7 linked regions of the Rattus norvegicus genome follow. The protein of the gene in region 2 purifies or fractionates together with the protein of the main gene of each other region. This does not show direct contact. Links are inferred from orthologs where the notes say so. Each region holds a gene or a part of one and is shown on either strand. Other genes may lie near its edges. The genes, in order: Macroh2a1, Ezh2, Trip12, Pabpc4, Fam120a, Smarca1 and Numa1.

Region 1 (4,053 bases), on a different chromosome or scaffold from region 2:
GACTTATTTCATTCTATGTGTTTTGAGTATTTTGCCTGCGTGTGTGTCTGTCTGTGCACCACGAGGTACCCAGTACTCATGGATGTCAGAAGAGAGCATTGGATTCCCCGGAGTGGAGTGATGAGGATCACATGAATGCTGGGAACAGAATCCTGGTCCTCTGCGAGAGCCTGAAGTGCCATTAAACCCTGAGCCATCTCTCCAGCCTCAAGGCTACCTCTTAAACACACCCCTGCTTACCTTTCCTATTATTTCTTCCGACCCAATTTCCTCCCAGAATTTATACCCTGTAATGCATGACTCCTTTGTCTCTTGCCTTTCTTTTCCCACCACTGTAAGCTCCAGGAAAGCAGGGGGTTTTGCCTATTCTGTTTACCATTCCACAACTACACCCAGATTTCTGCACGGTGTGCAGAATGTCCTAGGTATTTCCTTGAAATAACGAATGCATGGGCGAGGGGCTTTAGACAGTGCCTTTCGTGTCTTTAAAATGCACAAGGGCTGGGGAGACGGCTCAGCTGTTAAGGTCACAAACCCCCAAAACCTGCTGCTATTCTAGTGCAGCCTGGGTCTGGAGGAGAGTCTTTGGTTTTGTGGATGGACTTTGCTGCCCTTTCTCTGGCTGACAACCCCCCACGTTAATATGTAAAAATAAGCACTGCTTAAATTCAGTAGCTCTCCACTTGGAGCCAGTAGTCATCAAACATTTGCTTGGTGGAGGAAGCTAGCCGATTCCACGAGCAAAGCAAACCCAGACTTTGAGGCCAGTTCTGAAGAATCCCACTGATCAAGGGAGTTGAGATGCAGCAGCTGATCTTGGGGCACACAGCTGCTTGAATAATGCTTGTATTTAAAGACAGGGGGCCGGCTTGAGGCGCGGAGTTTGTGCTGACTTTGGAGGAAGAGATCTCTGGTAACAGCAACTGTGCCCTCCCTCTTTGTGGACAACGCCACTGGTGATGAGGCGACACAAGACACACAGTAGGTGCTCACTGCACATGCTTGCCGAGCCGCGCTCTGAACAAGCATCTTCCTGAGGCCCGACCCCTGCAGCTCCCGCGCGCAGACCGATGTCTGGTGGGCAGAGGGCAGGCGGCAAGGCCTGGGTGCAACCGAGGCTGGCGCCGTTGGCGTCCGCGGCCCGGCGCAGGCCGGGGTCAAGGCCAGGGCGCCGAGTGGCGCGGGAGGGGTGGCCGGACGCGCGAGGCCGGGAAGGGATGTGACGAGCGGCGCGCTGTGCATTGTGGGAATCCCGGGGCCGCCGCGAGTGGTTCCAGTTCACTGGTTCCAGCGGAGCCGGGCGGAGGGCGCGAGCGCGGGACGCGCGGGCGGGAAGCGAGGAGGCGTGGGCGGGCAGGCAGGAGTGCGGAGCGGACCGGCGCAAGAGGCCGACCGGGCTCGGGCCCCTCACCGTGCAGCCGCCCGGTAAGTACCGCGCGGGCCTCGGAGCCGCAAGCTGCGGGTCCGCACGGTCCGGGCCCCCCGCGCCCTACGGCCGCCGCGCGCTGGGCTCTGCCTAGAGCCGGGGAAGCTCGGGCGGTTACCCTCGGGCCTCGGGCTGCCCGGGGTCCGCCAAGGCCCTGCCGGGGCAGCGCGCGGGTCCCGGTGGTTTTGTTCCGAAAGCAAACCCGGAAACCAACTTCTCTCGGAGACGCACCCCTGCCCCCGCCGGGGCGCTTTGTGGGAAAGGGGCTGATGGGGTCTCCCCCCTCTCTCCGGGCGGTAGAGCCAGGGGTGGCGCGGGTCCTAGGGCACCGAGGCCCGGAGGCCGAGACCGGTCCGTCCGCCCGGGCCGGAGCCGCTGTGCTCAGAGTTTACTTGCTCGTGCGCCGCTGGCCCGCGCGTGCCCTCCCGGGCACAATAAAGTGGGGCGCGAGCCACGGGCCGTTGTGAGGCCGGCTGGTGGGGCACCCGCCGCGAGGCCTGAGCAGGCGAGGCCTGGGGACCACTCGCGGACGGAATCGCAGGCCCGGGCGGGCTGGAGAGGAGCCATGGAAGCCCCGCTGCTCTCGCTCGCCTTTTGTTTGCTTTGTGCTGGGGAGGTGTTATTTTTAAGGTGACTCCGGAAGGCCGTAGGCTCCCCGCGCGCAGAGGGACAGCTGAGAAGAGAGTCTCTGGGGGTGGGGTGTGTAGAGACCGGAGGCGCGGGATGCTGCTGGCGGTGTCACCTGACAACAGGTGTGCGAGATGCTGAGCCCCGCTCCCACTCCTGCAGAGACCGCCGGTAACTCACGGCCGGGCAGAAGATTGCTTGAAAGAGTCTTAGAAGATATGTAGGGGAAAGTTGTTTTCTAGGTTTCAAAGAGTAACTTTTGAACAAGCCGCCGAGACAGACCTTGGCTCCAACAGTTACAGTCATTATGAAGTCTTTGTAAGATTTTTTAATGATCCAGTAAAACAGCTTAGAAGAATAGACAATTAGGGGGGTTCTCCTGCTCAGTTTCCCTCAGTGCTGACACCTCTGTGGTTTGAGGTTTTACTGTTAAAAGAGAGGAAGTGTTTTGTTTGTAGACTTTGCACCAGGGAGTCCCAGTTTTGAACAGTTTGTGCTGGAGTGGAAGACTCGAGTCTTAACCCCACTAAACTTCTTGTTACCTGTAGGTTAACCTTTAGGTGTACAGTCACAGTTACCATTAACACGGAAATAGACGCCTTGTACCTGCTACTGCACTTAATACAGCTTGTCCACAATTGACCAATTGAGCCAAAGTAACTCAGCACACACACACACACACACACACACACACACACACACACACACACCACCCTCTCTGACTAGATCAACCTTTTCAATTTGTGGGGTTTTTTTCCTCTTAAGGATAAGGAATCCCCCGAGACTTTAGACTTTCCCCCTTTCTCATTTTGCTATGAGCTAGGTCGTTTTCATTGGTTGACTATTCATGTTGATCCCTAGGTAAAGAAGGTATTGGGGAGAGGTGGGTGGACATTGTTTATAGCAGGTACTGATTTATGGTGAGGCAGGGAGAGCCCACACTGTCTACTGAGAACGGTCCGGAAATTCACATGTGAGAACTTCCTCACTGGCTTACTTTCTACCATGTGGACTAACTTTAGGGAGTGATACAGTTCACTCTGCCACCTTCCTCAGGATCTGGAAAGCCATTCTTCCCTCCCATGGGGACATGCTTGGAGCTGATGGTGTCCCCTAGTCGATGAAAGGTCTATTTGAAGAGAGAAACTACTAGTCTGTATGTGGTGTTCAGGATTTGCAGTAGTCTTTGGTTCCTGATGGGCTTTTCGGAGCCCATTCTAGGAACATAAAATGGGAAAGAGTGGGGGTGACTTGGACCCTTACCTGCTAATGCCCCCATCCCTGTTCTGTAGGCTTAGGAGCAGGGGCTCCTAATTGAGGACTCCAAAGAGTCCTATAACTTGCTTGCTAAGAGCAACCCTGCCTGGTTGATGCTTGCAGTCACTCGTATGTCCCAAAAATCTGTTCTGGGTTAGGAAATAGTCATGAGCAAGAAATGCCCAGGCCCTGCCCTGGAGAACTGACTGTAGGTCAGTAGAGGAAGGACAGTTGTGTTAGTGGGGTCGAGTCCTATGTGGCTTGGCGAGGTCAAGAGGCGAGTTTGTTGGGCATAGGAGGACAGGTGGGGGCAAGCGACCAAGGCCTGAGAAACCATGTGTGCCAGTTGTACAAGCTAACCAGTGAGGTGAAGCTAGAATCTAGGGTCAGACGAGGACAGGGGAAACTCCACGGAATCCCATCAGAACCACAGCTGATCTAAGAGCAGCCAGGAACACCCCAAAGTAAGAGTAAGAGAGGAGAGCAGTGGCTAGGCCATCTCTTACCCTTAGTTGGGATCCCCGTGTAGCAAATACCTGGAAGCTTCCAGATACTTGGTCTGACTGGGCTCCTTAAAGTCACATTTCCTCCTGATGGCTTTTTAAAAAAGGAGCTGTCACAGCACAAGCAGGGAGAGGAGTTAAGTGGCAGTGTTGCCCTTTTAATGCAGGACTGGTCCCTTCGTACAGCCCAGAAAGCACGGTGGTGTAGTGCGCGTATCGACCGGCGAAGTTTCAGGCCCC
Region 2 (3,500 bases):
CCTCCCTGTTCAACAATGCCCTTCCTCAGGGCAGCCAGAGCCTGTGAAATTAAGTTATCAGAATCTTGGATTCAGGTTTCTGTGTACAGGAGGCTCTTTTGATATCTGAGCAAAGGGAGCTGTGGTCATATTATAGTGGAAAACAGGTTTGAAGTGGTCAGTCAGTGACACAGATTGGGAGGAGGTTAAAGCCACAGGTCCTCAATGATTAAGGGAGTAATGTGCCCTGGACCAGCTGGAGAGGGGTGATTTCTGAGAAAGCAACGGATACTGAAGGAAAATGCTGTTTTCTTTGCTGGCTGTGAAATTGATTTTGACTGTCCTTACCTGCCCCTCCGGTTACAGTGCTGATAGGCCTTCGCTATTCTTCCAGATTAGAAAATGCATACAAAAAAAAAAAAAAAAAAAAAAAAAAAGAAAGAAAGAAAGAAAGAGAAAGAAAGAGAGAAAGAAAAGAAAAAGAAAATGCATACAAAGACTTTTGTCATTATCCTTTTCCCTGTTTCTGACATTTGGATTTTAGAATGTGGATTTATAAATGATGAAATTTTTGTGGAGTTGGTAAATGCTCTTGGTCAATATAATGATGATGACGATGATGATGATGGAGACGATCCTGATGAAAGAGAAGAAAAACAGAAAGATCTAGACGATAGTCGAGATGGTATGTTTAATACTAGTTTTTTGTTTGAGCCTTATATAATTCTTCTTTTAAAATAAAAGTACCAGGCTGGTAAGATCAGGTCGGTAAAGGTGCTTGGTGAATCGAGATTCCTGGAACCCACTCTGTGGAAGAGAAGAACTGACTCTCCTAAGTTGCCCCTGATCTTCACACCAGTACACTGTGGCAGACATACAACCATATGATATATGTAAATAAATGTAAAAACCACCCATTTTGGGGTAGAATGTAACTCTCCCCTTTTTGTTAAGTGTTCTATCTTAGCAGTATGATCAAATGTATTCTCTGCAGCATTTCATTCTCTATAGAGCTTCTTCGTTTCCTGTGCCTAGCAAAAGGACATGTGTTTTTGGACTTTGCTGATCAGTTATCATAATTATCTTTATAATAATAATAATGATTTATGGCATATTAACAGCTTTATTATATATTAGAAATGGCTTTAGAGAAGCTGAAGACTATGGGACTTAGTTAAGATTGCAATATTGGGAAAAAGTTGAATCTGAGCCCCAAATTGATAACATAAGTCTGACTCGAGAATTGTGCTATTGCCTCTACACTTGTTAAGTGTTCCTAGAAAACAGTCTACCCCAAAGTAGAGCCCATAATTCTGTCTTCTACTTAGCAAGCTTACTATCAAGCAGAATTAGGAGAAAATTGCAATTTCAAAAGACATGTATTCTTTATAACAGAAACACACCGGAGTCAGTAAGTGATTGCTAAGTTCTTCCATGTGATGGACAGTTCTGAAGGTGGATTAATGATCAGCTCTGACAGAAAACTATTAGTGTCAAATAATCAAAATTTGGGGGAATCTGTCTTCTTGTACTCTTAGCATCTTGACAAGCTTTTCCATAAGAAATAACTGATAGAGGGTTTGGTGATGCCTGTAATCTCAGCACCTGTAATCTGAGCGAAGGCAGGAGAGTCTGAAGTTCAAGGTTATCCCTGGCTTTGTAATGAGTTTTATGCTATCTTGGGCTAAACTAGGCAAACCTGTCTTACAAAATAGGACAAAACCCCCAAGCCAGTGATAGTGAGTCATCCTTGTCATTCTCGAACTTGGGAGTCAGAGACAATAGAATAGAAAAGTTGGCTATCGAGGTGAATCAGTGGGTAAGAGTGCTTGCTGAGCAAGTCTTTTTCTTTCTTTAAGAATTATTTATTTATTTTATGTATGTGAGTACACTGTAGCAGTCTTCAAACACATCAAAAGAGGGCATCAGTTCCCATTACAGATGGTTGTGAGCCACCATGTGGTTGCTGGGAGTTGAACTCGGGACCTCTAGAAAAGCAGTCAGTGCTTTTAATCTCTGAGCCATCTCTCCAGCCCCCAAGCAAGTCTTGATGACCTGATTTGAATTTCTTAATTTCACCATAGGAGAGCACTGACCCACAAAAGTTCTTCCCTGACCCTCACATGTGCACAATGGTGTGCACACCCATGTGTCTTCACTCAGGGAGGTGCACATAAGCATACATACATGCACACCTTAAAAAATAATAAAGTAATTATTAAAGCTTCGAAGTCAACCTGGTCTACTTAGTTGCAGGCCAACTAAGGAAGGCTACACAGTAAGAGATCTTGTCTTACTCCCTCCTCTCCAACCTCCACAAAAGTGAACCAAAGTTGACAAGTTGTTAGAACATCAGCTTTGTTGAGACACAGTGATAGAGAGAAAATGAAGCTGAAACTTGTTTCTTCCATCTCCCCCTATCACAATTCACTGTTTAGATAAAGAAACTTGCCCACCTCGGAAATTTCCTGCTGATAAAATATTTGAAGCCATTTCCTCAATGTTTCCAGATAAGGGCACAGCAGAAGAACTGAAAGAAAAGTGAGTAGGAATTTTTCTTTTTTTTTAATTTGGGGCAGTTGTGCATGTTATCATCTCTTGATTTATTATTTCAAGCATTCTCTCTCTCTGTCTCTCACACACATACACACACACACACACATACTTTACTGTGTATTAGAAAATTTTTAGTTCATATTGAGTACATATATGAGTATTCATGCATATTCTATGCCTATGTACAGTTTATACTAATATATTGAGGAAACCTTTTCTGGACGCTGGTAGAGATTTATAGTTAATCCAAACTAATGTAATAACCTCTTCTGCTACATACCTCAGTTGTATTAATGAGCTTGATTCTTATTTCCCATGCATAATACACGATTGGTTCTTAATGCAAGTAAAGATTACTGTAGGTTAGATTTTTTTTGTGGTTGACTTTTAGATAATATAAACTTAAAAAAAAAATCAAACCCATGAAAACCTTTTAGAAACTCACTGTGCAAAAAAGTGATGTTTGTTTGTTTGTCTGGTGTCAGGTATAAAGAACTCACGGAGCAGCAGCTCCCCGGTGCTCTACCTCCTGAATGTACCCCAAACATCGATGGACCAAATGCCAAATCTGTTCAGAGGGAGCAAAGTTTACATTCATTTCATACGCTCTTTTGTCGACGATGTTTTAAGTATGACTGCTTCCTACATCGTAAGTGCAATTATTGTACGTTTTCATTTTCTATCTTTGTTGTTGAAATATGTAGTAAAGCAACTTGATGTCAGTTGTCACAACCAAAATATACCGACCAGTCTTATAGTGAAGGCTGAGAAATATGTCACACCCCGTACTGTGACTGTTTTCTTCTTTGAGGATTCCTCTGACATCTTTTGTACTCATTTCATTCCATTCACTGCTTCCCAGTAACTTGAAGTGAAGGTCTTCACACTTGACAAGGCTGTTTTATAATGAATGATTGTAGTGAGGCAGTTCTCAGCTCAGAGCAATATTACTGCCATTTATGAAC
Region 3 (3,954 bases), on a different chromosome or scaffold from region 2:
GGGCTGGGGATTTAGCTCAGTGGTAGAGCGCTTACCTAGGAAGCGCAAGGCCCTGGGTTCAGTCCCCAGCTCCGAAAAAAAGAACCAAAAAAAAAAAAAAAAAAAACACCAAAGGACTCTTCTAAAACAGTGGGGACTGTACCCAGTGTGGATGACCAGAGGCAAAGAAAAAGACTAAAGGCAAAGTGACAGAAAGGACTGATGAAAAAAGGAAGCAAACCAAAAGGCAGAGAAAGAACTTGGCCTAGCAGACCCTTAAAAACTGTTAAGTGCTGCACTAGACAGAAGTTTGGTAGGAACGTCTGCACTGATTTAAGCTCTCACTAAACAGAAAATCATTTCTTTTCCTATTTTAATTTGGTCTTATTTCAGGAATTCAAAACCAAAATAACTCATTTGTTTTAGGATACGTCTAAATATCTTCTTTGAAATATCTTTTACTAAATAAAAAAGAAATTTACTTTCCTCAGTTAAAGCACCTTGATCTACTCTATTAGACTCTCATACATTTTTAATATTTGCTAATTTTACAATAGCACTCTCTGGGATTGCAAACAGTTTTCAGACTTCTAGAAAGTATATGAAAAGCTAAACAGCCTAATCAGAAAAAAACTAAATGCCAGCTGGGCCGACTTAAACACTACTCACACTGAAACACAGTGGAGCAGATGGAAACAATCTTTAGAGTTCTACAATTCTTAGTCCATTCGTTGAAAAGCAGGCATATACAAAGCCTACTAGTAATCATGCTACAATGTATAAAAACATACCAGTTCTGGGTCTAAACATGAAACTACGAGTAAATCAAAGAGTCTTAAAATGTAATACTGAAGTAACCGCATAAGCGTAAGAAAATAAGACTCTAGTAATGGCCTCCATAAATTAACTTCAAACGTGACATACAAGGCCTCATATACAGGCCCCTTGCCTTTTTTCTAACACAACTAAGACCTTTGTTCCTAGCATCAGTTTTTTACCCTACTCAGTAACAGCTCTTTCAACTTTCTACCACGTATTTTTGTTTTGTTTTTTTTAGAGATGAGATTCGAAGCCTCAACTTGCCAAGTCTTTAAAATAAATAAATATATATATATATACATATATATATATGTATATATATATATATATATACACACACACACACACACACACACCAAAAATTAGATTGAGAGCAAGAAAAAGTTAAAGATACCACTGGGGCCTACAAACCGAAGAAAGCCTGGAGATCGGGTGATTTGGCAACCCAGGCCAGATCGCGAGCTCAGACTAGGAAGGGAGACAGGAGAGCGGTTAGACCACTCGGAACAGAGTCACTGCGCTATCAACCGCCCCCCACCCCCACCCCCACCCCACCCCCACTCCCCCGTTTACCTAGTAACATCCCCGCCCCCAATTAACGGAGCCAGCAAGCTAAAAAGCAGCCCAGAAGCCAAAACTAAAACCTTTCGCAAACAAACTAAAACGCGTTAACAGAAACAAATCTGCAGGAGGTGGGAAGCCGCCCCTTCTCGTTTCCCTATCACCGCGGATGAATTCCCTCACGTCCACCTAGAATAGTTACAAGGTGTAATTTCGCCACCACCCCCCACCTGCATTTTTTTTTTAATTCTAGTAATGTTTCTGCGTTCTAACTAATGAAGGCTGTTATTCCAAGGAAGTCCTAGACAGAAGACTGGGTCTTAAAACCTTCGTTTTCTGAACATCCCTGTAAACTTGTTTCTCTACAAGAAACCCACTCGATAGGCATGAGTTGAACTGACGGACAAACAGTGTAGTAAGTTTTATGTAATCCACATATATTAATCTCCTGACTCGCTTTGAATGTTAATAGGATTGGGGTGACAATTGGCCCACCTCCCTCACCCAAGCCCAGTTAACCTTTCCGTCCTATTCCCCTGCTAGTCCTCTTAGAGGATCCTGCTTTCCCTCAGCCAAGTTTCTCGGCCTCTACCGCGGCCCCTGCCAGCTCGGCGCATCGTCGTCCTCCCTCAGCCTCGACTTCCCCGCCTGGAAAAGCCGCCCCGCGCCAGCTCGGCCCGGTTCGCCCGCTCCCAACCGTCCCCCCCAGCAGGAAGACCCTTACCGCGGTCCAAAGTCACTCCCGCCTCTCCTCCCTCAGACCCTCGCCTCACAACAGTTGTCACTCGAGCTGCTCCCTAGTTTCCATTTCCGGGCCGTCCACAGCTCAGAGCCTCCCTTTCCCTGTTTCCGGGCCCCCCGTCCCATTTCCGGGGAACCCTTGCTGTCTTCACGCCCCCCACCTGCACTTCCGGCCCCCCACTTTCTCTCTTCCTAGACGCCCTCCAGGCTCCAAAGACCATTTCCGGTCCCTCCCGGCCCCCGCTGGGCTCCCCTAGACCCGCACGCCCTACCCAGATTCCGCCTAGGGCCTTCCTCATCGCTGGAGGCCGGAGCAGGGACTCAGAGCCCCCTCCCCCCCCCAAGCCAGTCGGCCCCGGCTCCTCCGCCGCGGGCTCGCTCGAGCGCCTCACCCGTCAGCCTCGGGCTGCTCCTTCCACGGCCCTGCCGCCGCCAGCGAGTAGAGCCGGGAGCTCTGTCGCTACGATGACACGGGCACGCTGCCTCAGACTTTTGGCTCCGGTTTCCCAGTCCTCGTCAGCCCCCTCCCCCAAAGCCCGACCCCGCCGCTAGGAACGGCGTCCCAATTACCTAGTTAGGCCCCAAAGTCTCTGGTCCGGACTCCGTGGCGCGACGGCAACTTCCACTGGCTCCCCCCACCCCCCCCAGCGGCGGCGACGGCGGCGGCTTGTCGTCCCTTCAATTATCAGCTGAGCCGCAGCACCGCGCCGCCGTGCGCCTCCGCCCGCGCCGCCTCCCTCCCCGCCCGCTCCACTCCAGCCGGGGACTACTTTGTCCTGAGGCTTCGGCCTGCGGGATCCTCCGCAGGACCAGCCCCGCTACCTATTTACAACCCATCCTATCGCCCCTCCCTCCGCAACGCTCAACTCCAGTCGACGAGCGGCCTCCAGTCTCCTTCCGATCCCTTCAAGGGACCAGGAAGGGGACTGTGGCGCTCCACTTCGTATCCCTCCGCTGGGGTCACCCCCCGCCCCTCCGCGCTAGCAGGAACTAAATTCCACTTCGGGTCACCCAGGACCTGACTGTAGAAATTTCACAAAGCAAGGTTCCTTGTGAGCCCTGGTAAAGGAAACCATCACCCCAAGTTAAAACCCCCACACTGCCAACTCAAAAGCGGACTTCGCTTTAAAGTGAGGCTGCGGCCCCCTGACCCCGGTCAAGCCCCGCCCCTTCCTGGTTGTCTTAGCGACGGCGGTGGCGTCCCAAGATGGCGTCGTGGCTACCGGAGACTCTGTTTGAAATTGTAGGACAAGGCCCGGCGCCGAGCAAAGACTATTACCAGTTGTTGATCACCCGAACTCAGGCAAGTGCGACCCACGGTTTCCTGTCTCTCCTGACCCCTTCCCCGCCCAACAGGGCCACCCGATGGGGGCCGCTCCAGGCAAACAGCCACCGTGGCCTGCCGGAAGCGCCGCTTCTCAGCTCACAGCCAGAGATCTTCCCTCGTCACCTCTGCTCGGCGGCCCGAGAGTCCGTTCTCTCCCCAAGGCGGGCTCGTCCCTGGCGAACCTTCCTTGCCTCCCCACAAATGCCGTCCGCTCCCCTTCCTGCCTCCCGGCTTCCTACCCGCTGCGTTCCCTCCGCGCGCGCCGAAGAAAAACAGGCGTCCCTGCTTGCGTGCTGCCTCACCTCAGCGTGGGAAGGAGGGAAAGAAAGACTCAGCTAAGTGTCCCAAGGAGAAGCCGGCAGGGGGAGAAAGGGACGGTCTCTCTTCCAGGGTAGGACTTAATCCTGTGGCGTTTTGTTTTCCCCCCCAAGAACCTCGCTCCAGCCTTTACAATAACCACACCAAAACTCCTCTTTTTAGAAGGAATGGCTGACTGAAACGTCTTCCCTTACCTTGTTGGAGCCTCT
Region 4 (2,899 bases), on a different chromosome or scaffold from region 2:
GATTTCTGAGCATTTTCCCAGAGCTGAAGCCTTGTTGCACTTGCTGACGTGAGCAGGTAACTCCAGGAGACAAACTTTACTCCAGGAAGAGAGTGGAGGCTTTGACTAGGGATCCCTAGGGTTTGCAGCAATCCCGAGGGGCCTAGACTTTGCTGGTCTGAGCATTCTACATTCAAGTATACTGTCATGGTATGCAGAGCATTCTGATGGCTCAATTCAGCTCATTTTTTCAGGCTTGGGCTGAGCTGACTTCAAACTGGGTCTCACTATCCTGTAGCTCCTACTGACTCCAGCTAGGACCATAGGTGTCAGCCATGAGCTCAGGGCCTGGCACATGCCAGGCAAGCTCCACCCCAGTGACACATTAACTTACTGCATGCTTGCTTACCCAATCCTCCTAAAAAGGAAAAAGTAAATTCATTTAATACTAACAGTAGTTCTAGCAAAAAAGCCCAAGATATAGAATAAAACTGATTGGCAACACATAAAAACAGCCAGACTTGGAGATTTTATTTCCTTTATTGAGAAACTTAAGTCTTGGGTACATCAAAACCAATTTCTGGGAGAGGGGAAAAAAAACAGAACTCATAATAGAAAAAAAAGTTACCATCATCTGGGCCACAACAGAACCCAGAGAATATATTCTTATAATTGAAAAATTCTAGGTGCTTCATAATTGACCTTTTGATACAAAATGACCTGTTGAATTTGTAACTTGGTTCTTGAAAGAGGTCCACAGACAAACTAGGAAGTCTTCAGACCTCAGCTGAATGCCGTGAGGGGTTATTTGGCTTTTGACTCCTGAAAGAGAGCAGCACCAACACAAATAAGCAGCCCGCTATAAGAACTCCATCAGCATCAGCTGCCCCATCCCGCCCTGACTTCAACTGTCCATCACCTCTCAGGTACCAGTCCTACAAGACCAATATCCCTCTGCACACTGCTCTCCCAGCTTGGCAGGACACAATCTCACCCACCTCAGGCCAAGCTAGCAAGGTATAAGATATGCATAGATGCAGGTAGGTCTTATGATGTGACTGCCACTATGTCAGGCCAGGAGATTATTCATTTCTATGTGGTGGCCAAGCATGTGATCAGGTGCTTCTAGGTTGCTCAGACTGAGCAGCTGGGTACTAGGGCTCTGCCTCCCCAACGTGGACAGCTGGGATTACAGACATAGTCATGGACGTAGCCCCCCAGCATCCTGGAGGCTGAGTGAATCATCCTGGGGCATAGGCTAAGTAAGGCCCTATGTGAAACACCAGAGAGGCAGAAAATGTCAACTGTCAACATACTTCTGGTTTAAGAGGTAGCAGCAGCAACAGTGCCCACCTTCTGGGCAGCTTCTTTCTTGGCATGATGAGCCTGCAGGACTGCCACAGCTTCATCCACCTGTGGAAGACGCCCAGATGTTCAGAGACTGAGGGGAGCCACCCCAGGTGCTCAGTGACCCACTTGTCTCTCCTGGCACACAGACGTGGTCAATGAGTAGAAGATCCCCCAGGCGGGCTCCTCCTGGTGCTATCTCTTCAACAACTTTAGCAGTAGCTCAAATCAGACATGGGTGGCCATGGGGGCCACAGACCTTTCTCTCTGGACGGCCCCCAAGCTCATTCCCTGAAGCTAAACCGTGATGTCACAGGGTCTTGAAAGGCAGCTCACCTTGGAACGGAGGGACTCGGGGGACTCCAGCATGTGGAGCAGCTCAGAGTTGTCGATTTCTAGCAGCATCCCTGTAATTTTTCCAGCCAGGTTTGAATGCATTGTTTGGATAAGTGGGAACAAACGCTCCCCTGTGGGCAGAACAGTTGCCATCATAAAAGTGTCCAATCCCAGTGAGCACCAACTGACTGACATTTTCCCAAGCATGGAACTTACCCAGCATCTGCTTCTGCTCCTGGGGAGGAGCTGCAGCCAGCATGGAGGCAGTCAGGGGTTCTTGACCCTGGACATGGACTGCAGGCTGGGGGGCCTGTGAACCAGGAGAGGCAGTGGGGTTAGCACTAAGGAAGACTATGTGAAAGGGAGCGGAGGTGGCAGTCCTGTGCTCAAAGACAAAGCTGGCTAGCTGTGTACTGTAAGCTATTGGAAGGGGAAGATGCTGACCAACAAACCTGCCTCACAACACAAGGCCCTGCAGTCAAAACCAGGCCCCGGGAGACATAATTTGTGATTTTCATGTAGTCTTGGCTGGCCTTGATCCCCTTGCTGCCAAGGGCCAAGGGCTGGGATTACACGTGCGTACTTCACAGTATTTATGCACTTCTCTTCAATGCCTCCCTTACGTTATTGTCAGTACATACAGAGGCAGGAGCCAAAGAGTGAGAATCAAAACATTCCTAACCATACTTCATTATCCCCCGGTACAGGATGTTTGGGTTTTCTGTGTACCCTCTCCGAACCCAGGCTGGCCTCAGTAGGTGCTGACCTTTAACTCCTAATCCTTTTGTCTCTACTGACCCAGCACCTGGATTCTGGGATATGCTAATAATACCCTGGTAAATTCAACCTTTTCTTTTACAGGACTGGGGCTTGGTCTAGGTGTTTTTAATATATTAGCAATTATTTGAGGATCATTAATATATGCAACAGTGTTGCTAGAACCATAAAAAGGTGTTACAGGTGAATTAGCACCAAGTTCCAAGAAACCCCCACTGGAGAGAATGATGAGAAGGGAGACTATTATTAAGAATAATTCAAAGCAGCTTCTACTCCTGAAGTTGTCTGGGCAGGTGAGGCCCAGTCATAGCAAACTGCCACCAAGTTCTGAAAGTGGCTATGCTTTAGGTCACAGCTTAGGCACCTTAACCTCTGAATATTCTGGGAAGCTTTCTGTTGGGTGTTCTGTATATGTGTTTGACGATGTAGGGGAGGTCAACCCTGGGGCCTGGTTCCTCAG
Region 5 (3,500 bases), on a different chromosome or scaffold from region 2:
AAAGGCAAGCGCAGCGCCCACCAGCCTTGCTGGGCAGTCTCACAGCAGTAGCCTGCCCTAGTTATCTGTCCCATTAGCAGTGCTTAAATTGGCAAAAGGACACTGGACTCACAGGAAAGACAATTAATTCTTTCCCTTTTCCCAAACAGAATACCTTAGGGGACAAGGGAGATACACTAAGATTTCTGCAATCCAATTTGAATCAGCTGTCCATTTGTGACTTCTGATGCTCTCTAGGAAGAAGTCTCATCTGAATCCAGGCAGCATTCTACACTCTGGCCAGGCAAACAGTGCTGTTTCAAGAATGTCCCTTTAACTAGCTGCTGAGTCTGGATGAAGGGAAGGTTTGGGCTCTCTTCTCCAGGAAACCCAAAGGTTCAGGGTGTCAGGGGAGTTGATGTACCTGATGGGCCGGTGGCACCGCAGAGCAACCCTCATATTTGAGCCACAACATAAATAAGTTACTTTCCAACTTGCCCAGATTCCTGGGATCTCCAGCTTTGGGGCTAAAACAGCAAGACCTAGGTCAAACAGCACGACCTAGGTCAAACAGCACCTACCTGTGGTAGACAACTTTGGGCTGCAGAATGAAGGAAGCCCTCAGTTCGCAGCACCAGAGCACTCTGTGATCTTGAATACTCACTTGGTTGCCCCTCCACTGCCCTCATCGTTGTCTGATGAGGACGAGGTAGACGAGCCAGGGAAGTAGGCGGAATCCACGTGATTGGGGCTGCCGCTCTGGGCCAGGTTGATGGGCGAGGAGCGCTCATACAGCGGTGTGTGCTTCCCCTCGTGAGGAATGTTGCTGTAGCTGTTCTGCTCTGTCAGGTTCTTCCCGCTAGAGTCCAGGGCGAGGGCAGGCTCAGGGAGGCTGTATGGGTATGGAGCCTGGCCTGGGGTGCCCCCTGGGCTGGGCACCTGTGGGACCTGAAATGCAGAACACAAATCAGTGTATAGGGCTGGTGGGGCCTGAGGCAAGGCTGAATTAGTTTTGTCCTCTTCAGTCATTTCTAATCTGACAAACTGGTATCTATCCTTTCTATCAACACAAGAATTTAAAAAAACAATGCATGTCCAAGGCTCACAGGACTAACTTGACTCAGAGGATACCTTACCGCGGGCTTTGCTTGCAGAGAAGTCTGTGGAATGTTGAGCATCTGAGGGGGAACATATGGTGGCACCATCCCAGGCATTCCAAATGGATTTGGTCGGGCTGTTTTATCAATACAGGAAGAAAATAATAAGACAAGTATGAAGAGAATGCCATATCCCCAGGATACCCCCGAGTTAGCCCAGGGCCCATATACCTTGCCCCCTTCAGCTGCCCCTCTTCCCAGAAACCTTTAGAAATTCAAATTTAACATGTGGCTCCAGAGGTCATAGTTTCCTTATCTTGTTATAAAAGTGAAAAATAAAACCAGGCAGAGCTCTGAAACTTAGCTCTCTTAAGATCAGAGGGCTTTTCTAGCCTCTGCTCTAAACAGCACTGGGCAATGAAGGCACACATGACCACCTCTTCCTCAGCCAAGTACGTACCCTTCCCAGAGTTCCTCACTCTGCCTCTCTGAAAGCAAAGTTCCAAGACCAAACTGTGGGGATGATTCTTAAACAATACAAGTTACAGTCAAACCAGGACTATAAATGAGAACACTAGCCCCCTCACTGGCCTAACCTGGTGGACACAGGGTTTCCTGAGAGCTACCGTGCAGCCCAAAAAGGCTGAAAGAGAAGCACAGATCACGGCTCACTTTCTCCAGTTCCATCAGGATCCAGGAGCCTCACAAGCTACCAACTCTCTAGAATTCTCCTCTCCAGACTGCAGCTCTTAGCTCTGAAATGCCACAGCAGGACTCTGACCCTGGCTCTCACTCACTAGAGAGTCTAGCACAGCATCCCACTTTGTACTGAACAAGAAAACTGCTGTCCAACAGCAGGGAAGAGTGAACTCGGCACGAGCACGCATGGGGCACATTTACACGTGCGGACACACCAAACACGCATGCATCTGTGCACAAGTGACAAGCCTACCAGCTCCCCTCCAAGTGTGAAGCCAGAGCCACTACACCTGTTAAAGAGACTCTATGGTAATTCAGAGTCACAGCTAGGAGAAGGGACAAAATATGCTATAAAATCCAGCAGTGCTCAAACATTATCATTGGAATCACTGTACAAAGTCTGGTTAATTTATGGTAGCTGACCTTTTCTATTTAACTTTCTGTTTGTTTTGTTTTGTTTTGTTTTAAAGACAGGGTTTCTCTGTGTAGCAGCCCTGGATGTCCTGGAACTCACTTGGTAGACCAGACTGGCCTCAAATTCCAAGGCCTCTGCCTTCCTAGTGCTCAGATTAAAGTTGTGAACCCCAACCCCCACTAACTTCTGAATAATGAGAGCATGGCCTGGATGTGTTGGTTACAGTTGTCACTTTCAGGAGATGGTCACTTGGGCCATGCTACTTTTGAATATAACAACTAAAACCTCCCTAAAAAGCACAAACTTTCCTTTGAACAAACAAAACAGATTAACACAAAAACCAAAGACTCTCTTCAAACTGTATTTCTATTATTTTGTGTGTACAGTCAGATGTCACATGACTGCAGGCCAGAAGAAAAGCAGCAGATCCCCTGGAGCTGCCGGACAGGGGTGCTGGGAACCTGTCACTTCTTTAACCTCTGAAACACTGCTCCAACCCTGCCAGAGCCAACATTTTTACAGCATTTTCTAAAAAGCACATTGTAGTCAATGGCTTCCTGTATCTCCAAGAGCAAGCTACTGTTCCCTCATCTGTCAACCCTGTGGTAACTGAATGAAGTCTTCTACATCTTCCTAAGAAATGACTGACCCTGAGGACCTGTTGTGGGAGCTCACAGGCCTCCCTTTAAATTGGTTGTTCTGTTCCATGACCAGTGCAGTAGCTGAAAAGAACCACGGTCCCCCTTCTCTACCACAAGAGTGTCTCAGAAGAGACACAGGGCCCAGTGTAGAGGCAACACTGCCACTCTCCTATGTCCTTTTTACCAACACATACTAGAGCAGCCTTTATTAGCAAAGTGGGAAGAACAGAGAAAAAGAATGCAAGAAGAATGCTCAATTAATAAAGTATTTTTATAGCTTAAAAAAAAAGTGCTGGGGCTGGGGATTTAGCTCAGTGGTAGAGCGCTTGCCTAGCAACCGCAAGGCCCTGGGTTCGGTCCCCAGCTCCGAAAAAAAGAACCAAAAAAAAAAAAAAAAAAAAAAAGTGCTAAGCATTACAGACTTCTTCAGGAACGCACAGAAAAGCAACAAATACAGGTGCCTTTGAGCTGCATTCCCTGACTTTTCTCCCCCAAGACCCCAAAGCACAGTTCTATGACGCACCCCAGTGACTCACAACCCTCGTAGAGTTGCCTAGCCTTTGCTCTATATTAAATTAAGATTCCTGTTTAAAGAAATGGTATTAAACTAAAAGCACTTCCAACTAACTGTAAACATCACAGCAAAGCCCTCCCTCCCATCCTGCCCTG
Region 6 (3,500 bases), on a different chromosome or scaffold from region 2:
TTTGTTTTGTTTTTTGTTTTTGTTTTTTGTTTTTGTTTTGTTTTCGGAGCTGGGGACCAAACCCAGGGCCTTGCGCTTGCTAGGCAAGCGCTCTACCACTGAGCCAAATCCCCAACCCTGGATGTACTTTTCTAAGTCTTGTATCTATGCTAATGAATTCTCCTATAAGTTTCTGTGTTATTAATTTTTTTTACCAGTAATCAAGTATTCTCTGCTGAGTGATCGGAGAGTGGCTAGAAATAAAATCTTTATCTCTTCCTTTATTTAGGATGAAGTAAACTCTTGATCTTTTAAGGTTTTGTTGTGAACCAGCTTATTTTTATTTTTCTATTTATCTACTATAAAAAGTTTTTTTTACTATATTCTGATTATGTTTTCCCTCCCTCTAACACCTCAGATTCTCCCTACCTCTCCTCCCATCGAAATCCATGCCTTTTCTTTCTTTTATTAAGAAACAAATATGAATCTAAAAATAAAAATAAAATAAAACAACTCAAGTTATTTTGATAATGTATTGAAATTTTAGACTACACAAACAACAGCGTTATGTATGGAAATACTTAATATATACGAACTACTTCACATATATGTGTACCTATATTTTTCTCTAAGTTCTATTCTCTTGTGGAGAAACATTACATACTAGTAGCATAAAGTATAAATTTCCAGAATGACATAATTCAAAGAAAAATGTCATTACATTATTGTACCATGATATTGAAAATATCTTTAAGAGCAGCTGATGTTCTATGCCTAGATTTCAGTTATTTCTTTTTTTTTTCTTTTTTTCGGAGCTGGGGACCGAACCCAGGGTCTTGCGCTTGCTAGGCAAGCGTTCTACCACTGAGCTAAATCCCCAACCCCTCAGTTATTTCTAAATGCAGCTTGGTAATTCTCAAACTTTATAGTATGTATGTATTATAATTTATGTGTATTTTATTCATTTATTTATGATAATTTATGTGTATTTTATTCATTTGTTTATGATTTTTTTGGAGATAAGTTCTCTCTTTGAAGTCCTGGCCATACTGAAACTTGCTCTGTGGACCGGGCTGGTTTTGAGCTTGCAGAGATTGTCCTGCCTCTGTCCTCCAAATGCTAGGATTAAAGTTGTGTGCCACCCTGCATGGCTCCAATATGTATGTGTTTCTATGTTTAGTACATACATAATTGATGCAATTTAGGTTTATTTATTTACTTTATGTATGTGACTACACTGTCACTGTCCTCAGACACACCAGAAGAGGACATCAGATCCCATTACAGATGGTTGTGAGCCACCATGTGGTTGCTGGGAATTGAACTCAGGACCTCTGGAAGAGCAGTCACTGCTCTTAACCACTGAGTCATCTCTCCAGCCTGGCAATTATTTTTTTTCCATGTGGAGAGGTTTAATGAGAGAAGAAGAGAGAAGAGGAAAGGAGGCTGGCCATGGGCATATGGGGGGGGGGGAAGGGAGTATGGGGAAAAAAGAGACAAGGAAGGGCAGAGAAGAACAAAGAGAACAAGTCGCAATTATTTTTAATTAAAGAAAAAGAGGATCATGTTTAGAAAGAGGATTCGTTTTCTAATTTTGACTTTCTGATTGTTTTGTAATATTGGGCACTGGGAATTGAACTCTGGGTCTTGGCAGTACTCTACCGCTCCCCTGTGCTTCCAATCCTAAGGGTATACTTCTTTTGGGAGCATTTATTAAATCTGTCAGGTCATTTTATTTCTATTCAAACTACTTGAAATAGCATTGTGAAGTTTGGTTACTTACAATCTGGGGAAGCATGGGAGCATTCCTTGCCCATTCTGTGCTTCCATTTTATCATCTGTAAAATGGGTATGACCTTAGTGGCCATCTTATGGATTTCAAAGGGAATTTGGTAGATTAATATGTTAAAAGCATCGAGATTATTGCATAACTGAAGCAGAATATAAATGTTTGATAAATAACTTTGAATGAACACAAAAAGAAAATCTTTATTTTTCCCTCTCGTTTGTAAATTAGAAAGCAGACAGAGCGAAGAGATTTGAGTTTTTGCTGAAGCAGACGGAACTTTTTGCACATTTCATTCAACCTTCAGCACAGAAGTCTCCAACATCTCCTCTTAACATGAAACTGGCTCGTCCTCGAGTAAAGAAAGATGACAAGCAGAGCTTGATTTCTGTGGGAGAGTATGTAGTCTTTCTACGTTCTTCCTTTTCCCTTTTCCCTCCCCCTTTCATTTCATTTGCTCAGGATAACTTTCTGTGAATAATATGATTATTGGCAATGCAAATGTGTTTTGGAAACACCAATCTTTGTCTTTTTTTCTCACCAGAACATAATTAGTTAAAAAAAACCCCAAAACTTAGACTGCTCTACCACATTCTATGCCAGACACTAGATAACACATTCCTTTTTTAATAAAAGACATTTGCAAATCTAGCTTGGTGTCTCCGCACTGGCCTGAATGTGAAAGTTTTTCTTTTTGTCTTTTCACCTAGCTATCGCCACAGGCGCACAGAACAAGAGGAAGATGAGGAGCTTCTGTCAGAGAGTAGGAAAACATCGAATGTGTGTGTTAGATTTGAGGTCTCACCTTCTTGTGAGTACTTTATCACACTCATGGTCACTTTTGCAGTTCAGTAGAAAACCCAATTTCCTTGAGTATACTAGTAAAAGTCTGAGAGGTTCTTCATTTCTGTTTTAGATGTGAAGGGAGGACCCCTGAGAGATTATCAGATTCGAGGACTAAACTGGTTGATCTCTTTGTATGAAAATGGAGTCAATGGTATTTTAGCTGATGAAATGGTAAGGCACTGGTATTCAAAGAATGTTCTGATTTACTACAAGTTTTTAATGTAAATTTGAACTACCTGTGTTGAGCTTTCCTTAAGCCCTATGCCCAAAAGCTTTATTTAGTGGCAAAATAATCTACTTTTTAGATTTCTTTCTTTTACTTTATGTGTGTGAGTGGCTTGCCTGCCTATATGAATACCATGTGTTTGCAGCACCCGGGGAGGAGAGGGCATAGGATCCCCGGAACTGGAGTTACGGCTGATTGCAGGCCACCACATGAGTGCGAGTAATGGAACCCAGGTTCTCTGTCAGAGCAAAAGGTGCTCTCGACATCTGAAGTATGTCTCCAGCCTGCAAAAGAATGTTTGTTGTCTATAACTGTTCAAATAACTTGTAGAATAGAACCTTTTGCATTGCTCAAAGATCATATGGAGGTTTCCTGAAGTGGTACGACACCTCTTCTTTTGCTCTTGTTTCTGTTTGAACTTTGGCTTCCAAGAAGCCCAAAGAAAAGTGCAATGCCAAAAGGCAGCATCTCTTCATCCTTTAAGGTCTGCCCCTGATGGTTTCCTTTTCTTTTCTTTTTTCTTTTCTTATGCTTTATCTTCTAGTCTAATTTTCCTTGATAACTTTTCATTTCTGTTTTACCATTAACTTATGTTCCATGTTTTTTATAACGAGCAATCTGGCATCTTCTTGGGAATGAGGTAGGATATAGAAACAAAACAAT
Region 7 (3,500 bases), on a different chromosome or scaffold from region 2:
AGGTCATGAGCATGGGTGTAATTTGACCTCTTTTACCACACACAATTGCAGTCAACATTCTGAGAACTCTACTAGCTGCACACTCCCCATGTGCACTCCCTCCCCTCAGCTCATCTCACCTAGAGACAGACTGCCATGAGACACACTGCACAGTAGTGACAAGAACTCAGGACAGGCTGCCAGGTTCAAACCTGGCTCTATCACTGTGGATCCCTCTAAAGCCCAGTTCTGTTTAAGGAGGTATAATGAATAGAGCCCAACATGGTGGCTAGGGGGAAAATGAAGTTGTAACTGCTCCAAGAACTCAGAACACTGGCCCACAGTGCAGAACACGCTGTTTGATAGAAACAGTAACTGTACTGCGAACCTTGCCTTCAATACTGTCAGGAAACTAGGATGCAAATCCAACCTGTAGTCCTCAGTGTGAGCACTTCTGAAGTCCATCAGCCTTTGGCTGCCAGACCTACTTGGCCTCACACTACAGGCTGCTCCTTCACCCGCCTCTGCACACTCTTGTAGAGTTTATCAAAACTCAGCAGAGCTTCCTTCCAAGGCTTTCCTAACTGTTCCACCTCCTTTTCACTTCTCCTGTGCCCTACGCAGGCATCTGTCATCACAGAAGACCCACGGGCTAGAACAGCGCACACTCAATGAACAGGCCCAGGACAGAGAGGCATGTCTCCTGACCTAGCGACACTGCACGGGGTTCCCTCCTCCAAGCTCAGATCCAGGCTGTCAATACTTAGGTCCAGCTGGGGTTTCACTTGAGGCTCACGGCTCTTTAAGGCATCAGTTGCCACCTGGAATTTGCCCAGGTCTCGAAGCTGCTGGTCTGCGTGGGCAACCTTAGAAGTAAAATAAAAAGAAGCCTAGAGTAGGGGTGGCCTTGGAGAGGAGGCACGTAGTACAACAGATCAGGGTGAGGGGCTGCTGTTGAAACAGATGCTCACCTGGGCCTCCAGGCTGCGCACCTGGGCTGTGAGGTGCCGGCAAGCCTGTTCAGCTTCCTTGGTCTTCAGCCCTGCCTGCTGCAGCTCACGGCCCAGACGTTCAGTCTCAGACCGCAGCTCCTTGTTGTCCTTCTGCAGCTGCTCCAGGTCTTGAAGCTGTTCCCGCAGCTCTTGGTTCTGCTGCTTCTTGGCATCGTAATGGGTCTTGGCTTTCTCCATCTGTGTGGACAGACAGGGTGTGTGTGTGTGGCAGAGCCTAGAAATGGTCAGGAAGAAGGGCAGAGCAGGCTGGCTCCTGGCCCCGCACCTGTAGCTTGTAGTGCTCAGCTGCCTGCTCCTTCTGGCTCAGCTGGGCTTGCAGCTCACTCAGCTGCGTCTGGAGGCACTGGACCTCCTGCTGGCTTTCACCTCCCTGGGCCTGGAAAGCCTGAGAAATCAATCAAAACAAGGGAACTCTGATTACCCAAACCCACTGGCCTGCTTCTGCTGCTCAGTTTCCACAGGTCCTTCCCAGTCTTCTGAATAGATTCTCAGGACATCTAGGGACGCCTCAGTCCAATGCACACACCCCCAACCGCAGCCTACAACCAATTCCATTCTCCCTCCCAGACCGTCCGGCGTGTGCTGACCATCTGCTGGCTCTAACGCTTCTCACAGTCCTGCCGCCATCTGAGGCCGAGCACCAGGAATCTCACCCCTGTACAAGGACATTCTCTCTCAAGGGAACAGAAAGGGATCTTCTGAGAGTGCCCTGGTCTAGAGCTGAGACAGCTGCATGTGCATGTGCATGCCAATGACAGGAACTCACTTCTCCAAGAAACAACTTTTATCCTTGTTTTACAGAAGAGAAGAGACCAGGGATTTAGGCAAACTGACAGTACAGTAAACCTTGAACTTCATCCACCTACTCCAAAACTGGGGGTTGACTCCTTTACGATGCCACCACTGTCTCCTAAGGGAACCCTAACTCCTCATGAGGAGCAGCAGCTGGTCCCCGTATCTGCAGTGTCAGCTTGGTTTACCACAGGTACTGGGTGGGACTACAAAACTCCTCCATCTGCTAGCTCATAACAACCCTAAAAAGGGACATGACAAACCTGCTTACTGTTCACCACAGACCACGGACAAGGACGCTGAGAAGGAAACTGAATCCCAGAGTTCCTCTACCTGGGATCCACTATGTGCTACACAAGTCCCTGTGGAACTGGTGCCCAATCCTTTGCCCTTAACTAAGGGATGGGAAGCTTAGAGCTGCTGAAAGCAAACACTGGAACGAAGAAGGTAACAGAATTGGGAGCATTAAGTGTTAACTGCACTGGTCATTATGGCAAATGCCAAGTAATCTCAGGACTCTGGGTGGCATAATGGGATGGGGTCTCCCATCCCAAGGAGGGCAGGGATATGCATTCTAAGATTGAGAATTGTTGAAACTCTCAACTCTTGAACCCCAACTACTTACAGCAGGGCTTTCCCACAGAACTTTCTGGGATGGAGGAACTTGTCCTATTCTGTCTTGCAGTCATTAGCAATTGCCCTACTGACTGGGAAAGTGGCTAGGGTAAATCAAGAACAAACAAAGTAACCTGTTCTGAGGTGCTGGAGCTGAGCCTAGGTCTTCTGTGCACCAAGCAGTGCTCTACCACTCAACCAGACCTATGCCTTGATATTTTTAACTGAAAAGCATAGTTGGCTGTAACAGAGAGAAGGCCTTTCGGTGAGAGATCCCTGAAGACAAAGCCAAGGTTTCTGAGGCCCAGGACAGGTTCCTGGGCAACCAGGCCCCCAGGGAGCACCTGCTCTGGCCTGGTACTGCCCAAGGGCTTAGAGAAGCTGTCCCTCCACCCTGGCGCTCTGAGGCAGAGGACAGGCCTGTCCCACGGCTGCCCCACCTTCAGCTTCTGCTGCTGCACCCTGCTGGCTTGTTCACTCTCTGTCAGCTTCTTATTCAGTTCTTCCACCTGAGGAGCAGAAAAAGAACAAACAAGAAGATGAGGGTGGAATGGCTTTCTTGGTTTTCAACTAGACCACATCTGCAAACAGCTAAAACCCAAGCAACTGGGCACAGCTATGAGGGATTTTTCTCAATTGGATCATTTGAGGCGGGAAAACGCACCTTAAGTCTGGGCCACACCTGGTGGCAGCTCACATAAAAGGACATAAAAGGAAGTTTTTGCTCTTTGCCTGCTTGCCTCACTTTCTTGTTCTGGATATGCATAACCAGTCTAAAGATTTCTAAGTGTGCCTTGGGAGAATCAAAACCAAAATTCAAGTCCTAGAAGGTGTCAACAGTTAAAGTAAGGGCATTTATTAAGGAATGTGATCCTGTAGTTTGGTCTGGCAAGACAACGAACACCGCTGTTTCTCAGGGCCCACCAATAATTTATAGCCAAACCTAAAACCAAGGAGCTAAATAACTTTGCTAATTCATTCAAGTATTCTGTGTGGGACACCTGTGTGGGGTAAGTTGTAAGGGTGTGGGGTTATGGTGGAAAGAACATTACAACAGATCAAACTGAGTTCACTGATTCAGGCCCATGGAGGAGAGATTCT

The links.
Region 1: the proteins of Ezh2 (region 2) and Macroh2a1 purify together in Homo sapiens (affinity purification with mass spectrometry; 3 studies listed by BioGRID and IntAct, with this or other methods). This does not show direct contact. The link is inferred for Rattus norvegicus from reciprocal best matches to the Homo sapiens genes EZH2 and MACROH2A1.
Region 3: the proteins of Ezh2 (region 2) and Trip12 purify together in Homo sapiens (affinity purification with mass spectrometry; 3 studies listed by BioGRID, with this or other methods). This does not show direct contact. The link is inferred for Rattus norvegicus from reciprocal best matches to the Homo sapiens genes EZH2 and TRIP12.
Region 4: the proteins of Ezh2 (region 2) and Pabpc4 purify together in Homo sapiens (affinity purification with mass spectrometry, with the first as the bait; 3 studies listed by BioGRID). This does not show direct contact. The link is inferred for Rattus norvegicus from reciprocal best matches to the Homo sapiens genes EZH2 and PABPC4.
Region 5: the proteins of Ezh2 (region 2) and Fam120a purify together in Homo sapiens (affinity purification with mass spectrometry, with the first as the bait; 3 studies listed by BioGRID). This does not show direct contact. The link is inferred for Rattus norvegicus from reciprocal best matches to the Homo sapiens genes EZH2 and FAM120A.
Region 6: the proteins of Ezh2 (region 2) and Smarca1 purify together in Homo sapiens (affinity purification with mass spectrometry, with the first as the bait; 3 studies listed by BioGRID). This does not show direct contact. The link is inferred for Rattus norvegicus from reciprocal best matches to the Homo sapiens genes EZH2 and SMARCA1.
Region 7: the proteins of Ezh2 (region 2) and Numa1 purify together in Homo sapiens (affinity purification with mass spectrometry; 3 studies listed by BioGRID and IntAct, with this or other methods). This does not show direct contact. The link is inferred for Rattus norvegicus from reciprocal best matches to the Homo sapiens genes EZH2 and NUMA1.

Annotation. Positions count from the first base shown.
Region 1 is NC_086035.1:8,483,297-8,487,349, forward strand, and holds the start of Macroh2a1 (core histone macro-H2A.1), read left to right. Parts: upstream 1-1,253; 5' UTR 1,254-1,425; intron 1,426-4,053. UniProt on the Homo sapiens protein: Variant histone H2A which replaces conventional H2A in a subset of nucleosomes where it represses transcription. Nucleosomes wrap and compact DNA into chromatin, limiting DNA accessibility to the cellular machineries which require DNA as a template.
Region 2 is NC_086022.1:77,642,184-77,645,683, reverse strand, and holds part of Ezh2 (histone-lysine N-methyltransferase EZH2), read left to right. Parts: intron 1-523; coding exon 524-664; intron 665-2,417; coding exon 2,418-2,520; intron 2,521-3,020; coding exon 3,021-3,184; coding exon of another isoform or gene 3,185-3,199; intron 3,200-3,500. UniProt on the Homo sapiens protein: Polycomb group (PcG) protein. Catalytic subunit of the PRC2/EED-EZH2 complex, which methylates 'Lys-9' (H3K9me) and 'Lys-27' (H3K27me) of histone H3, leading to transcriptional repression of the affected target gene.
Region 3 is NC_086027.1:93,487,340-93,491,293, forward strand, and holds the start of Trip12 (E3 ubiquitin-protein ligase TRIP12), read right to left. Parts: upstream 2,801-3,954; 5' UTR 2,671-2,800; intron 2,496-2,670; exon of another isoform or gene 2,373-2,495; intron 2,241-2,372; exon of another isoform or gene 2,084-2,240; intron 2,023-2,083; exon of another isoform or gene 1,879-2,022; intron 1-1,878. UniProt on the Homo sapiens protein: E3 ubiquitin-protein ligase involved in ubiquitin fusion degradation (UFD) pathway and regulation of DNA repair.
Region 4 is NC_086023.1:140,861,691-140,864,589, reverse strand, and holds the end of Pabpc4 (polyadenylate-binding protein 4), read right to left. Parts: intron 1,973-2,899; coding exon 1,879-1,972; intron 1,794-1,878; coding exon 1,663-1,793; intron 1,393-1,662; coding exon 1,303-1,392; 3' UTR 1,296-1,302; intron 802-1,295; coding exon of another isoform or gene 784-801; 3' UTR 501-783; downstream 1-500.
Region 5 is NC_086035.1:15,935,611-15,939,110, reverse strand, and holds part of Fam120a (constitutive coactivator of PPAR-gamma-like protein 1), read right to left. Parts: intron 1,214-3,500; coding exon 1,116-1,213; intron 928-1,115; coding exon 644-927; intron 1-643. UniProt on the Homo sapiens protein: Component of the oxidative stress-induced survival signaling. May regulate the activation of SRC family protein kinases. May act as a scaffolding protein enabling SRC family protein kinases to phosphorylate and activate PI3-kinase.
Region 6 is NC_086039.1:131,934,283-131,937,782, reverse strand, and holds part of Smarca1 (probable global transcription activator SNF2L1), read left to right. Parts: intron 1-1,996; coding exon 1,997-2,163; intron 2,164-2,475; coding exon 2,476-2,576; intron 2,577-2,681; coding exon 2,682-2,782; intron 2,783-3,500.
Region 7 is NC_086019.1:165,776,252-165,779,751, reverse strand, and holds part of Numa1 (nuclear mitotic apparatus protein 1), read right to left. Parts: intron 2,909-3,500; coding exon 2,840-2,908; intron 1,378-2,839; coding exon 1,258-1,377; intron 1,170-1,257; coding exon 951-1,169; intron 870-950; coding exon of another isoform or gene 846-869; coding exon 688-845; intron 1-687. UniProt on the Homo sapiens protein: Microtubule (MT)-binding protein that plays a role in the formation and maintenance of the spindle poles and the alignement and the segregation of chromosomes during mitotic cell division.